Linked DNA regions of Xenopus tropicalis. The protein of the gene in region 2 purifies or fractionates together with the protein of the main gene of each other region. This does not show direct contact. Links are inferred from orthologs where the notes say so. Each region holds a gene or a part of one and is shown on either strand. Other genes may lie near its edges.

The links. Proteins that work in one complex are often made in the same cells at the same time.
Region 1: the proteins of lztfl1 (region 2) and bbs7 purify together in Homo sapiens (affinity purification with mass spectrometry; 3 studies listed by BioGRID and IntAct, counting the BioPlex papers as one, with this or other methods). This does not show direct contact. The link is inferred for Xenopus tropicalis from reciprocal best matches to the Homo sapiens genes LZTFL1 and BBS7.

The regions. Positions count from the first base shown.
Region 1 is NC_030677.2:66,808,766-66,816,049, forward strand, and holds part of bbs7 (Bardet-Biedl syndrome 7 protein), read left to right. Parts: intron 1-405; coding exon 406-478; intron 479-995; coding exon 996-1,112; intron 1,113-2,318; coding exon 2,319-2,449; intron 2,450-2,579; coding exon 2,580-2,664; intron 2,665-3,689; coding exon 3,690-3,792; intron 3,793-4,829; coding exon 4,830-5,022; intron 5,023-7,284.
Region 2 is NC_030682.2:64,757,429-64,765,317, reverse strand, and holds the start of lztfl1 (leucine zipper transcription factor-like protein 1), read left to right. Parts: upstream 1-3,899; 5' UTR 3,900-3,923; coding exon 3,924-3,974; intron 3,975-7,889. UniProt on the Homo sapiens protein: Regulates ciliary localization of the BBSome complex. Together with the BBSome complex, controls SMO ciliary trafficking and contributes to the sonic hedgehog (SHH) pathway regulation. May play a role in neurite outgrowth. May have tumor suppressor function.

The DNA of each region.
Region 1 (7,284 bases), on a different chromosome or scaffold from region 2:
TGGTTTGGTCAAAAAGGAAACCGTGTCAATGCTTTTCTATTCAATTACCCAACTGTCAGATCTACAGTATGTTCTCAGTCAGGGTAGGCATGCTGAGTAAAGAGACAGGGATATGATATGTTCAGAGTTGAACATAATGGGGCTCTTGAAGAAATGCGATGCTTAGTAACACAGCCACTAACTTTGAGTCTCCTGCTGATGTCAGCAATTGTTTTGGTTGTTCTCTTCCTCCCTCATTCCCACACATTCCTCTGAGTTGTACGGTAAATGGTTGTATACATTAAAATACAGAAAGATATACGAAAAAAACTACCAATACAAGAGGTAAAAAGGATCCTGTCTGAAAGAGCTAACAATTATATTTGATGGTTGTACTTAGATATATTTACCTTTTTTGTTAATTAGGGCTCAAGTTTGATGTATGAAGTTGACGTTCCTGGACCTCCGTCTATTTTGGCTTTGAACAATGGAAATGGGGGTGAGAATTTTGTGTATTTATTGTGCGAACAGGGAGATTTGTTTTGGGGGCGACTAATCTCCCCTTGTGCCAGAGCCCTAAGGCTATGGTTACAGGTAACTGTTTATGCTCAGCCAAACCACTTGCCTCAGCCCACTTCACTGTCTACACTAGCAGATTTATCTGCTTTAACAGGGGGCCATTTATAAACACTGGGCAAATTTGCACCTAAGCAGTAACTCATGACAACATCTGATTGGTGGCTACGGTTTACTGCCCACGTACAGATTTGCCCAGTGCTTATTAGAAAAGCCCCACGGAGCGGATTTTGGTGCTAAAGTGCATGCTCATGCATTTCCAAGTTTAGTGATGGGCGAAATAATTCGCCAGGCATGGATTCGCGCTGAATTTTGACGTTTCAACATCGGTGGATTATCTTGTGAAACAAAATTTGCTGTGAGACAAAAAATTGTCGTGCACGTAAAAAAAAATGCTCATGTATTGTTAAAAAACTGCAATCTTATTCTTTTGTATTAAGGTGAAAGTGGGGAAGAACTTTTATACGGCACATCGGATGGTAAAATTGGATTAATTCATATTGCAATGAATACTCCGATTCCCAAGTGGGAAATTCCAAATGAGAAAAAGAGGGGAGGTGAGTTTACTGAATTTATGTACTTTAGATTTAACTAATTTGTATATTCACCAGCCATCCATCCTGCAGTCTCCAGTTGTTAAAGGGATCCTGTCATGATTTTTATGGAGTAGTTTTTATTTCTAAATTACACTGTTTACATAGCAAATAATTCACTCTACAATTTAAAGTTACATTCTAGAACCAACAAATGTATTTTTTTAGTTGTAATATTGGTGTGTAGGCAGCCATCTCAGTGCATTGTGCCTGAGTCTGAGCTTTCAGAAGGAGCCAGCGCTACACATTAGAAATGCTTTCAGATTGTTTCTCTTACTCCCATGTAACTGGAGGAGTCCCAAGCCAGACTTGGATTTCTTACTATTGAGTGCTATTCTGATATCTACTGGGAGCTGCTATCTTGCTACCTTCCCATTGTTCTGCTGATTGACTGTTGGGGAGGGGCAAAATCTGGTTGCATTTTTGAAAAACGGATTTCAGTGCCGGATTCTGCTGGAAAAGCTCTATTAACTGATGCGTTTTGAAAAAAAACTGTTTTCACATGACAGTATTCCTTTAAACAATTGTCATTATATCCTAATAGGTCATAGCAAGAAAATAAAAATGTAAAAATAGCTATTTCAATTGTAAGACTTATTCCAGGCATGTACATAATGGTAGCTGAACAGCAAAAAAACATACTTTAGACCAATTATTTCTAGACACAGGAGGCAGTTGCTAAATAAATCTCTCCTGGAAAATGTTTCCTTTCCAGGTTGAGTAGGACAGAAGACACCTGCTAAGCATTGCTGAGAACTTTTCACCACAGTTTCAACAAAAACTAAACCTCCCCCAGACACTGCCATCTAATGAGCCCCCTTCCTGCTCCTTCCCCGCAGGGTCAGTGAACAGTGTCTGATAGTAATGCTGACCTATACAAGCAGAAAAGCACAGCAGAGCTAGCAGGCACCATCTCCTTAATGTTCAGGCATCCATTTGGCATGAGGGAGCTTGCTGGCGCTCTGTGTCACTGAATTGATCCAATGAGAACATAAAGATTCAGAGGATGGCATTTATAAATGGGATTGTATCACTTGCAGATATTGAATAACCATTGAACTCTTATGTTGTTAATTATATAGTACTGGGGATAATCAAGCAGTAAACTTTAGTTAAACTAATGCACATTTCTCATATATATTTTTTAATTTGGATATATTCGTCTGTTAGGCATCCTATGCATTGATAGCTTTGATATTATTGGAGATGGAGTAAAGGACATGCTTATAGGCCGTGACGACGGCACAGTGGAAGTGTATGGCTATGACAGTGCCAATGAACCTGTCCTCCAATATGACCATGTAAGTTAGCATCTCTATAAAAAATATTTTATATAAATCTAAAATAATTCCAAATTTGCTTCTTTTCTTAATTTTATCTGAAGCAGTTTTGATCATTTTAAAGCAGTTGTGTAATTGAAAGTCTTCCTAGTCTTTGACAGAAAGCATAACATCAATCCAAGGAGGCTGTGTTGGGAAGGACGGCTATGATGAAATAGTGTTATCCACATATTCTGGTAAGGCTGACTTACAACTCCTCTGTTAACTTAGCAAATAGCTGTGGACTGTAAGCACTTCACAGAATTTTCCTTGGACATGCAGCATTTAGGTATTTCAGAGGCATTAAAGCACAAAAAATACCCTGATTCAACGGTGATGCATATATGTTAGGCTGCTTTTTCCCTGGCAAAGCACAAACCTGGGATAAGAACTTAGTGATTTGATTCAATAGGGGGTGCAAACATATTAGCAGCCCGCTGATTTAATTGGGTTTCCTTGTCCGGTTAATGATAGAAGGGCATAGGAATGCCTTCTGAGTCATTATAAATATGTACATGTATGTGTCCATGTATGGCAATAAGTGCAGCATTTTTATGTTCACTCCATGCTAGCTCTTTTTTTTTTTTTTTTTTTTCAATTAGAGATTGTCATATTGTTACCAAGTAGAAATAAAATTTATAGCTACAACTGTTAAATGGTAACATTGTTTCACCATTAATAATAATAATAAAAGTTACATTATTTTATTTTCATTGTTTCCTGGTATTTATATAGTATTGACACATTTACACAGTGCTTTATAGAGATTATACATCATTCACATCAGTCAGTTTATTACATAAATTAACCTGTCTATATGTATTTGAAATGTGGGAGGAAACCCAACCAGATATGGGGAGAACATACAAACCTCTTTTAGTGCCCAAGCTGAAATTGAACTCAGGACCCCAGTGCTACCAAGAGAGCTAATGTGCTGCTTCCTATAAAAACAAACCAATAATGTAGCCCACAGCAAAAATAACACTAGATACACATATTTGGCCTAACACATTTCATGCTTCTTGTGTATTACAAATTTGTGATTGGGTGGGGTACTTTTAGTACATTAGTTTCATTGCCTCAGCACACTATTCACTTGTATATCAGTATATCATTTATTGGCTTGTTGACAGCTGCCTTGAACTTTATTTCTATTTCATAAATATAACTTTCAGTTATATTGGGTTTTTGGAGTCTTGACTGGGTATTCTGTTTTTTGTAGGATGGGTGACTGGACTCACCACCGAGCCTATACATAAAGAAGCTGGTCCCGGGCAAGAGTTAAAAATGAGCCAGGATATGCAAAACAAAATTGCTTCATTAAGGTAGTTATCTTCCAACTATGTTTTGTATGAAATTGTAGCATTATATTCCTTTTGTAGTTTTTTTCCCTGTAAAATGTTAGTTTAAGGTGAGCATTTTTCTGAGAAGCACCTGTGCCTGTGGTTTCCTGCAAGCCTTAAAAGGAAGCAATAGAGGGTGATTTGGGGTGAAATCACTTGATGTGCTGTTGCCATTAGTTTAAAGCTATCTTTAATCACCACAGCAGTGTGCAATAGAACAGCTGGTTACCATTTACAAAGAGTAGTAAAGTAATGTTTTGGGTTTTTTTTTAGTGGGCACATGTTTCTGCTAGGTTCATTCTATCTGCCACCAGGCTTATTTTGTACAGAATTGTGTGTGTGTGTGTATATATAAATATATATATATATATATAATATAAAAAAACTAATAATAAAAAGTTATTGTGAGGGAATCTAATAAGGCCTTTAGTTTGAGACTTTGATTGAGATTTCCGTTTATGTTCTTTAATTTCCCTGTGTGGTTTGATATTTGGCTGCTGCACTACTTACTACCTTATAAAATGAGGGAGGGCCCTGTCCTGCTGCTCTTGTGTTGTTTATTAATAAGTATATTTTGATATATATTTTTATTTACCAGGACTGTTTAATGATTATTTTCAGAGAACTATAAGAAATTGTTAAAGGTGCATTTACTCAGCAATTTGCTGTATATAATTGCTATTCTCAGCTTTTAATATCATGCTGTGAATAAGAAGTATATTGATTATATGGGTTGTATTGAGTAAATTTAATGCTTGTTACTAATGGGGCAAACTGCAAAATTGAAGTGTTTATTCCTAGAATTATCTCTTTATAAATGCCATGCAAGTACAGCAAGTACAGCCATGTTATGGTTGTATTGATCGCAGTTGCACTGAAATTTAATTACCAGCAAACAAAATCAAGATGTATTAGTAGATAACCCAACAGCAGATAGCAGTAGATAACCCCAAAAAAGGTTAAATTCATATACCAGTTTCTCCATGAAGTAAATGATACAGTTGCTTCTGTCTGTATAGGTCTGAACTGGAACAGTTGCAGTTTAAGGTCCTTCAGGAACGTGACAGGTACCAGCATTCTTCCCAGTCAGTTACTGCTGTGTCTGCTGTGCCTGTCTTCAGCATCAATGACAAATTCACCTTAAACCAAGATGATGCCAGCTACAGCCTTATTCTGGAAGTACAGATGGCCATTGACAATGTACTGATACAGGTATTATACACAAATCCAATATATCTGTCTTTTTATATCTTACTTTGTACATTACACCTATATAGTGTGGGTTGGAGTTAAAAGACTTTCAGCTGTGTATTCTTTTGTTTGGACTGACTGGGTTAAAATGCCTCTAAATCTATGTTCTGCTGTGTTTAAGACAAATACAACCCTACACATACAGTCCTACAAAGATGCTAATTGCTATTGTTTACCAAGATTGAAACATTTTCCACAAATTCCATTGTAATAGCAGGTACCCACAATATGCATGCAATTCAACATGCAAGTGATTTATAAATGCATATGCCAATTAATGTTTGGTTTGATTTGGCAACATTTTTCTTATTGAATTTATTTTTGAATGCCATTTTCAGCTAATTGTGTCCATAATGCCATTATCACACAAATCACTTGTATAAGTAGCTGCAACAAGCTAAAAGAACCTTCTTAAAAGGGTAGTTCACCTTCAAGTTAACTTAATGTATGTTATAGAATGGGCAGTTTTTAGCAAGTTTTCAATTGGTCTTTAATTTTTTTTTTTTTTTTTCTAGTTTATAAATTATTTGACTTTCAAGCTTTCAGTCACTGATATTGATAAATTATAGTGCTGTTAGGCTACAATTTTATTGTCACAGTCATTTTTTTATTACTTATCATTTTATACAAACCTTCTATTCATATTCCGGTGTCTAATTCAAAGAACTGCCTGTTTGCTAGGGTAATTTGGACCTTAGCCACTCTATAGTTGCTGGAATCTCAAACTGGAGAGAAAGCTGCAGACCAGTTACATATTGTCTCTGAATATTATTCTCTAAATCATACTAAAATTTAATTCAAAGTAAACAATCCATTTAAAGGAGAAGTTAATTCTAGAACTTGTGATTTATACATATGCACAATTAATCAGCAGGTGCTTTTTGTAAGGAGAGTTTCTGGGCACAATAAGCCATGTTTGTAGCACCCAAAGTTGCACTTCTATGACTAAATGAGCCTCCAGATCTACAGTACTGGAGCAACATCACTGCAAGGTGTTAATGTCTAGCTAGTTTTTAAAGCAGCTGGAGAATAGCTGGTGTTATTTATTATTCAGCTTATGGGGGATGTTGAGTGTGGGGTAGGGGTGGCTGCAGTAACTACTTATGGATAACTTAAAAACTGAGGAATATCTAATGCGTTATATTTGAACATTTTTACTTTACATCTAAGATGTTTGCACTATAATTTATTGTTTGTTATAATTCCCCTTTATGTTCTTATAAAGGGGTTGTTTACCTTTGTACAACATTCACAAATGTGAAACAGTTCACATGAATAGAATAATCTTTGCTATATACATAAAAATGTGCATCTGAAAACATATCATCTCAGAATCATCCCACTGCTGTACCTTCACTTCTGCACTAGTTGCTATTTCACTTCCTTATATGATGCCACACATAGTACTGGCAGCAGATTCTTATTGGATGTGTCTCCTGTCAGTCTGACACTGCTTCCTGTGCCTGTGGCAGAATGCTGCAAGTCTTACACAACAGCATGTTAGATTTGTTAAATGCTGAGTCTGTTTGCCTATGCCATTGCAAGAGAGAAATTAACCAATGACTTTTCAACTTATGTAACTGGTTAGAGTGCAACCAATGAATTAGTCCAGTAGAAAAAAAAGAGGGCAAAGCCCGGACATGATGGTGTAAGCATATAGGAAGTTCTAAGTGTGTCAGGTTCAAAATAGATTAAACAGTGGCCTTTTTACTTTTTTTGTGGAAAATGGATTTTCTAACCTGCTGAGAGCATTGTTGGTGGTTTAAAATTATTTGGACATTGAAGGTGAACAACCCCTTTTAAATATTATATATATGGTTTGGTTGTAGCTACTACTTGAACAGGAAAATCTAACCTGTGAACTACTGTTCTGCCAATAAGTACATATTATGTATTCAATGCACATTTACTGGCATAGTATTTAATCTGAATGCCTGAGACAGCCTCTATACAGGCAGCTTCTTATTTGCTTTAGTGAGAGTATAAAACAGGAAGAAAGATATGTAGATTACCGGCATCAGTGCAGTCATTTTAATATATACAAATTGCCTTCAACATTGCAGCAACATGTTTTAAGGTTTATTTATTATATAAGGTTTGGTTTCTCTTCAAGGTGATCTTTACATGGCAATTAAACCTCAAATGTGGTTAAAAAAAATAGCCAAATCAATAGTATTGTGAATCCACAGTAAGAATAGATGTTTTTCAGCCTGTGGAGTGGAG
Region 2 (7,889 bases):
TCCAGAGGAGCTGGGCATGTCCTTCCTAGGTTAAACCCCTCCCCTAATGATGCTGCAGGGGACCCTGCCAATTGGAGCTGCTAGGGTTGGGTTAAGCAGAAGCAGGGTCAGCCTCCTAACCAATCAATCCTAGGGGGTGTGGAAAAGAGGGGAGGTACCAGCAGCAGGGTAGAAAACCCAGAGGTTGTGGGTGGAGAGGGAGCTTTTTGTTGATCTGGGTGTAACCTCGCTACGGCAGGACACCCTCCCCTGAGGTTCCTTGGGATCCATCCTAGCTCAGGCAGGAAGATTCCCTCCAACTGGATTACCCTAACCCCTGTGGAAGGACTGTTTGCCCCTGGAACCAAGGTAGTGTGTTTCTGTGGAACTACCCAAAAAGGAACTTTGTTTATTCCCATTGGAACTGCCTGGGGAGGCTACCCAGGTAATTGTGACTGTCTGGGTGGGACACCTTTGTGTATTGGGGGTTGGGCTGGGAGACTCGGCCTTTGTTCCCTGGAGACTGTGCAGAGGGGGGTTGCCCTGAAGACTCCCTGTAGGAGGATTGATGTGATTGGGACTTGTGGACCTTCCATGCGTATTGCCCTTTCCCTGTTATCTACGTTTGGTTGTAATAAACCCCTGTGAAACAACCCCTGTGGAACGTGTGGTATTTCCCTGATTGTGCTAGCGGCTCATACGTCATACGTTGTGTGACAGGGACTGTCCGCGTAAAGCGGGACAGTTGGGAGGTATGGAGCAGTAGTGCCTGATCTGTCCAGTGAGGAGGCAGCTCTACTGACCAACTGCATCAGCTTAAGCTGGCCATAATGATAAAATCTTTGTACGATTTTTGGACCGAGTGTTGGGACAGAATTATCATTTTCACACCTTGGTGATCAGTTGTTTAGTTGATCGGAAGAAGTTTAAAATCTAAACATGTATAGTGACTAGTGATGTGCGGGCTGGCCCGATACCCACGGGTCAGGCAGATTTGGGCTGACCTCGGAAATCACTTGTGGGTCGTGGGCAGGTTCGGGTTCAGCTCTCCCTGCCTACTACCTAACACTGTCTGCCTTCGTCTTCTGACTTTATAGGTGCACCCGCCCCTTTTGTGATATCATAGCGGCGCAGTTCAAGCACTTGGCTTCTGTCCTATATTTATAGACCCACACTCTGTCCTTACCCACCCGCTCCCAACCTGGGAAAAGTTTGGGTTTGGAGTGGGCTGGCTATGGCCAGGTGCGGGTCGAGTTTTTCTTAACCTTAAAGGAGACATTTTATATAAAGTTCATATTCAGTTATAATATTCATGCTCCCTCAAAATGTGAAATGATACAGAAAGAAAGATGTTGGGAAAGTATTTTAGCTCCTAAAACTGTCATTATATGAGAGCTGCATAGACAACCTCTCAAGTCAGAAGCCAGAGCAAAATGAAACATGGGAGTGCCGCTTCAGTCTCCCACAGGAAGTGGTCACAGCACTGACTGACAGGCTTTACTCAACAGTAGCAGGGAAAACCCCTCCCAGTTTCCTTCTTCCATGTCTCTCCGCTTGTGCTGCCGCCGGGGGTGCGGAGCGAGTACAGCAGGAACGCATACCCCCCAACTGTCCCGCTTTTCGCGGGACAGTCCCGCTTTTTATGGCGCGTCCCGCTGTCCCGGATAGTTCCATGAATGTCCCGCATTGCGGGACATTCATGGAACTATCCGGCACAGCGGGATGCCCTTGCTGTACCGGATGTTCACGCTTTGTCTGCGGCTTCTTTATGCCTCTCCTTGTGCAGCGCGACAGTCCCTTTTATAAGGTTGCGCCTGTGGGTGTGACGTCATTACGCACGGGGCGCAACCTTATAAAAGGGCCTGTCGCGCAGCGCAAGGAGAGGCATAAAGAAGCCGCAGACAAAGGCGGAGCGCCTATGGGAGGTACTGTGATAGGGGGACACTGTGTATAGGGGGCTACTGTGATAGGGGGACACTGTGTATTGGGGGCTACTGTGATAGGGGGCTACTGTGTATTGGGGCACTGTGTATTGGGGGGCTACTGTGTATAGGGGCACTGTGTATTGGGGGGCTACTGTGTATAGGGGCACTGTGTATTGGGGGGCTACTGTGTATAGGGGCACTGTGTATAGGGGCACTGTGTATTGGGGGCTACTGTGTATAGGGGGCACTGTGTATGGGGGGTACTGTGTATGGGAGACTACTGTGTATTGGGGGCTACTGTGTATTGGATGGTACTGTGTATGGGGGTACTGTGTAGGGGGGGGCTACTGTGTATGGGGGCTACTGTGTATGGGGCGGGCTACTGTGTATGGGGGGGGCTACTGTGTATGGGGAGGGCTACTGTGTATGGGGGGGCTACTGTGTATGGGGGGCTACTGTGTATGGGGCTGGCTACTGTGTATGGGGGGGGCTACTGTGTATGGGGCGGGCTACTGTGTATGGGGCGGGCTACTGTGTATGGGGGGCTACTGTGTATGGGGGGGCTACTGTGTATGGGGGGCTACTGTGTATGGGGGGGCTACTGTGTATGGGGGGGCTACTGTGTATGGGGGGCTACTGTGTATGGGGGGGCTACTGTGTATGGGGGGCTACTGTGTATGGGGGGGCTACTGTGTATGGGGGGGCTACTGTGTATGGGGGGATACTGTGTATGGGGCGGGCTACTGTGTATGGGGGGCTACTGTGTATGGGGGGAAAAACTGGTACTTAGCTATAACTCACTTATAACTGACTGCCTTCTCTCTATATTTGTATTTTAATGTAGGAGTTGCTGTATTGTTTTCCTTAGGTCGTTCAGTATGAGGGTATAGCACATTTTCGTCTGCTCCCGCCATTTGATCTATATAAAAGGGGTATTTTTTTTAAAATGGGGTGTGGTAATTGGGGCGTGACCACAAAAGGGGGCGTGGTCAAAAAATTGCCGCGCTGCGCGCGCCAAATCTTTTTGTCCCTCTTTTCATTTTTCAAATGTTGGGAGGTATGGGAACGGACTGCCTGTGACATTGCAAAGCCCACCCACCTCACTGCACTTTATGTAGCTGCTGCTCTGTTACTGAAGTCTATTAGGGCCAGCACAGCCATATACTGAAGAGTCTAAGGGCAGCACCACACAGGGAGATTAGTTACTGTACGACAAATCTTCGTTGTCGCAGGCGACTAATCTCCCCGCAATGCCATCCCAACGGCTAGAAAAAGTAAATAGCTGATGGAATGGCATACGCTACGCTGCAATTTGCCTAAGTCGCCTGAAGGCAACTTCAGCAAATAGCGGCGCCAGATGGAATTGCGGGGAGATTAGTCGCCCACGACAACGGAGATTTGTCACGGTGTGACTAATCTCTCCCGTGTACCCCTGCCCTAAACCGGAAGCTTGCAAAAGGTCTGGGTAGAGCACAGTTTTCAAGCAGTTATGGACATATTTGAACCTAAAGATATTAAAATAAAAGCAATTCTATTTTACATTGTGCATTGTAAAAAAATATGGTATATGCCCCCTTTAACAGAGAAACTCAGCTGATTTGAAAATTGCTTAGAAGGGTTGCTAGGCAACGAAGTAACTTCAACTGAGCATGTGCGAGATTTGAGTGCTTACGTTCAAGCAGAGATATACGCAGTAGTGCAGTTTACCTGACCTGTCCAGTGAGGAGGCAGCTTTACTGAATAGCTGCAGCAGCTAACAGACTGGCTGCTGGGCAACGAAGTAACTTCAACTGAGCATGTGCGAGATTTGAGAACTGAAGTTGAAGGAAAGAGATAAGCAGTAGTGCAGAATACCTGACACGTTCAGGAAGTAGGCGGCTCTACTGATCAGCTGCAGCCCCTAACAGAAGCTCGGCTGATAGCAACGTTGTTTAGAAGGGTTGCTATGCAACAAAGTAACTTCAACTGAGCATGTGCGAGATTTGAGAGCTGAAGTAAAGCTATACATAAGATTCCAAGATGTCTGCCACAGATAGGACTGCAGTGAAGATAGGGGAGTTTTTGCAGAAGGTATAGTGAACTGATGCTTTACATTATACAAACAGTTCTGTTTTGAAAATCGGATTTCTTGAACTTTAACATAGTGTCTTTACTTAGTAAATCATTTTTGTGATGTTTGGTGCACTTTAAGTCAAGATGGTTTGCTGTGGTTTTGATTATCTGCTGCTTTGCTGTGTTAAAGGGATAAAGTCATCACATAATGACCTACTTTTATAACAATAGCATTTTGCTTTAAATGCAGGATTTAAAACATAGTTTTATGTTGCTAAAGATTCTGTGTATTTACATCCTTAGATGCATTCATTCTGAATCACTGTGCAACACATGTGAGTTGGCATGTAACATGATGGAACACATATATTGCATGTGCTGTGACACGGTTTCCTCTAACGCTCTGTTTCGCCCTCACCCATGTAGGACAGGTAGAGAAAATATAGTGTCCCTCGGGCAATGATGGATTCACATGGGGCATTTGTTTGTGTATTAAAACTGACAAACAATCCACCTTTTCCCAATGGGCAGTATCATGTATCACACCTATGACAATGAACTGCCTACTGCTTCATGATTTAGCTTGCACTTTTTTTCCATATACTTCATATATATTTTTACTTCTCTAAGAAGCTGCACAAAAGAGGCTGCTGACATACATCACATTACATTTACCTAACAGCGAACCTTCCTCCAACCTGATAAAATGCTACTCAGTAAAGCAATTCCAATGCACTTTGTATTAAAGAGATCAGCAGCAGCAGCTCCCCTTTTGCAGCTTCCCAGCAGAAGTAGGTTAAAAAGACTGCACACAATATCATTAAACAATAAGCAATACAGTGTCCTTGCTGTGAACAGACCCATGCTTAAAGGAGACATATCCTATAAAAATTATGAATGTACCAGTGAATTATACTCCTCTAGATACAGAAGGATTGTGCTTTAAAAAGTTGTGTTTCTGACTGATTTATTGAGAAATTCCACAAAAACACCACTAGTCCCGCCCATCTGTTCCACTTCCTGCTGGCTGAATTCTCTGGATGAGCTGGGGAGCCGGCAGCCCTCCGTACCCTGCACTGTACTGTAGGATAGGAACCAATCAGCAGCTAGGCTGACCTGATAGGGAACTGAAGCCTGTCTTTGCTTGTGTGAGTGCAGGGCTGTGATTGGCTCTCCCCCTCCTACTGTGCTTCTGGCAGGGACCGTTAGGACACGCCCACTCTTCATTTCAAACTGGATGGAGAAGTGATAGGATCTATATGGAGCTCCAATAAAGGGGCCATTTTTACAGAGAGGATTAATTTTTAGCACAAAGTGAAACCAGCACTGTATATTATTCATAATTGCCTACAAAATAAGCGTTTTTCCCCATTTATCCAATATGTCTCCTTTAATACATTTCGCAAAAGCAAATGAAAGAGCTAGGTGTTACACATTCCAGTTTATTGATAGCTATGGGTGCTATGGGTGAAGTGTTACAAGCTCCATACATGGGAGAGGTGTGGGCCAAAATTGTTTTAATCACAGTTTGAATAATCTGGTGTGATTTACACACACCTGGCTAGTAGGTTAACAATAACAATAGCATGTCCTGATTTTTTTGCCCATATTAACCCTTTTACTGCCAGCCATTTTGGTCAAAGCGGAACTTGTATTGCCAGACAGTTTTTGAACATTTTGCACTGTTTCACTTTAGGGGCCTTTCCTCGGGGGGACTTTTAGTTTACCAAGGAAAACAATATATCGTTTTTTTCAGAACAACCTAAGCTTTCAAAATATGGTAGAATTTTTGTGTAATTCCAATTCTGTAACAAGATATAGGCTTCTAAATCAAATTTTCCATAATATAATCACACATACTAGAAACAAAAATTATTTTATGCACGAATATACAACTGATTTGGAAAGTCCCATGTCTCCTGAACGTGCCAATACCAAATATATATAGTTTTATGGAGATTTCTCACTTGTATAGGTCAAAAACTCCCAGCAGTACACTACCAAATTCCCAAAGCACTGCTCCAAAAAAACTGCATACTTTGGATTTCAAGGCCAAAATTCCACTAACAGAAGGTTTATCCCAGAAAATTGTACATTTTTGGAAAGAACAGATTCTGGGGAATACAGAATAGGCACAACTGTCTGTCTACTCCAAACTATCAAGTCGCAATGCTTTCCTAAAGTTATTGGTTTTTATCAAAATTTGTGATTTTTTTTAAAAATCGCTTCAAAGCTTCTAGTCTATAGTATCTTATCTCCTACAGGTCATAAAGTAACCAAATAAAACACCCTAAATATGAATGCCTGGGGTCCACTGAACAGTTTGATGCCCAATATGTATAGGTTTACCTAAGTATGTGGCATGTAGGGGCCCCAATGTGAACATACCCCATATGAACTGTCATTTCTGTCATTTCAGCTTCTGCAAAATCAACACATTTACATCATTATATGTGGGATGAAGCTAGTAAAAAGTACGCTCACCCCAGAAAGTCATATATTTTTGGAAAGTACACATTCCCCCGAATCTAAAATGGGTACCCATGTCTTTCTACTCCAAAGTACCAAGCCGCACAGCTTTTCTAAAGTTAGCAATTTTGATGACATTTCCAAAAATCCCCTCAAAGCTTCCACTTTGAAGCATCTTATCTCCCACATAGCATTAGGTACCAAGATAAAACACCCTGAATTTGAACGCCAGGGGTCCACTGAACAGTTTGATGCCCAATATGTATAGGTTTACCTAAGTATGTGGCATGTAGGGGCCCCAATGTGAACATACCCCCATATGAACTGTCATTTCTGTCATTTCAGCTCCTGCAAAATCAACACATTTACATTATTATATGTGGGATAAAGCTACAAAAAAGTACGCTCACCCCAGAAAGTCATATATTTTTGGAAAGTACACATTCCCCCGAATCTAAAATGGGTACCCATGTCTTTCTACTCCAAAGTACCAAGCCGCACAGCTTTTCTAAAGTTAGCAATTTTGATGACATTTCCAAAAATCCCCTCAAAGCTTCCAATTTGAAGCATCTTATCTCCCACATAGCATTAGGTACCAAGATAAAACACCCTGAATTTGAACACCAGGGGTCCACTGAACAGTTTGATGCCCAATATGTATAGGTTTACCCAAGTATGTGGCATGTAGGGGCCCGAATGTGAACATACCCCCATATATACTGTCATTTCTGTCATTTCAGCTTCTGCAAAATCAACACATTTACATCATTATATGTGGGATAAAGCTAGTAAAAAGTATGCTCACCCCAGAAAGTCATATATTTTTGGAAAGTACACATTCCCCCGAATCTAAAATGGGTACCTATGTCTTTCTACTCCAAAGTACCAAGCCGCACAGCTTTTCTAAAGTTAGCAATTTTGATGACATTTCCAAAAATCCCCTCAAAGCTTCCACTTTGAAGCATCTTATCTCCCACATAGCATTAGGTACCAAGATAAAACACCCTGAATTTGAACGCCAGGGGTCCACTAAACAGTTTGATGCCCAATATGTATAGGTTTACCTAAGTATGTGGCATGTAGGGGCCCCAATGTGAACATACCCCCATATGAACTGTCATTTCTGTCATTTCAGCTCCTGCAAAATCAACACATTTACATTATTATATGTGGGATAAAGCTACAAAAAAGTACGCTCACCCCAGAAAGTCATATATTTTTGGAAAGTACACATTCCCCCGAATCTAAAATGGGTACCCATGTCTTTCTACTCCAAAGTACCAAGCCGCACAGCTTTTCTAAAGTTAGCAATTTTGATGACATTTCCAAAAATCCCCTCAAAGCTTCCACTTTGAAGCATCTTATCTCCCACATAGCATTAGGTACCAAGATAAAACACCCTGAATTTGAACACCAGGGATCCACTGAACAGTTTGATGCCCAATATGTATAGGTTTACCCAAG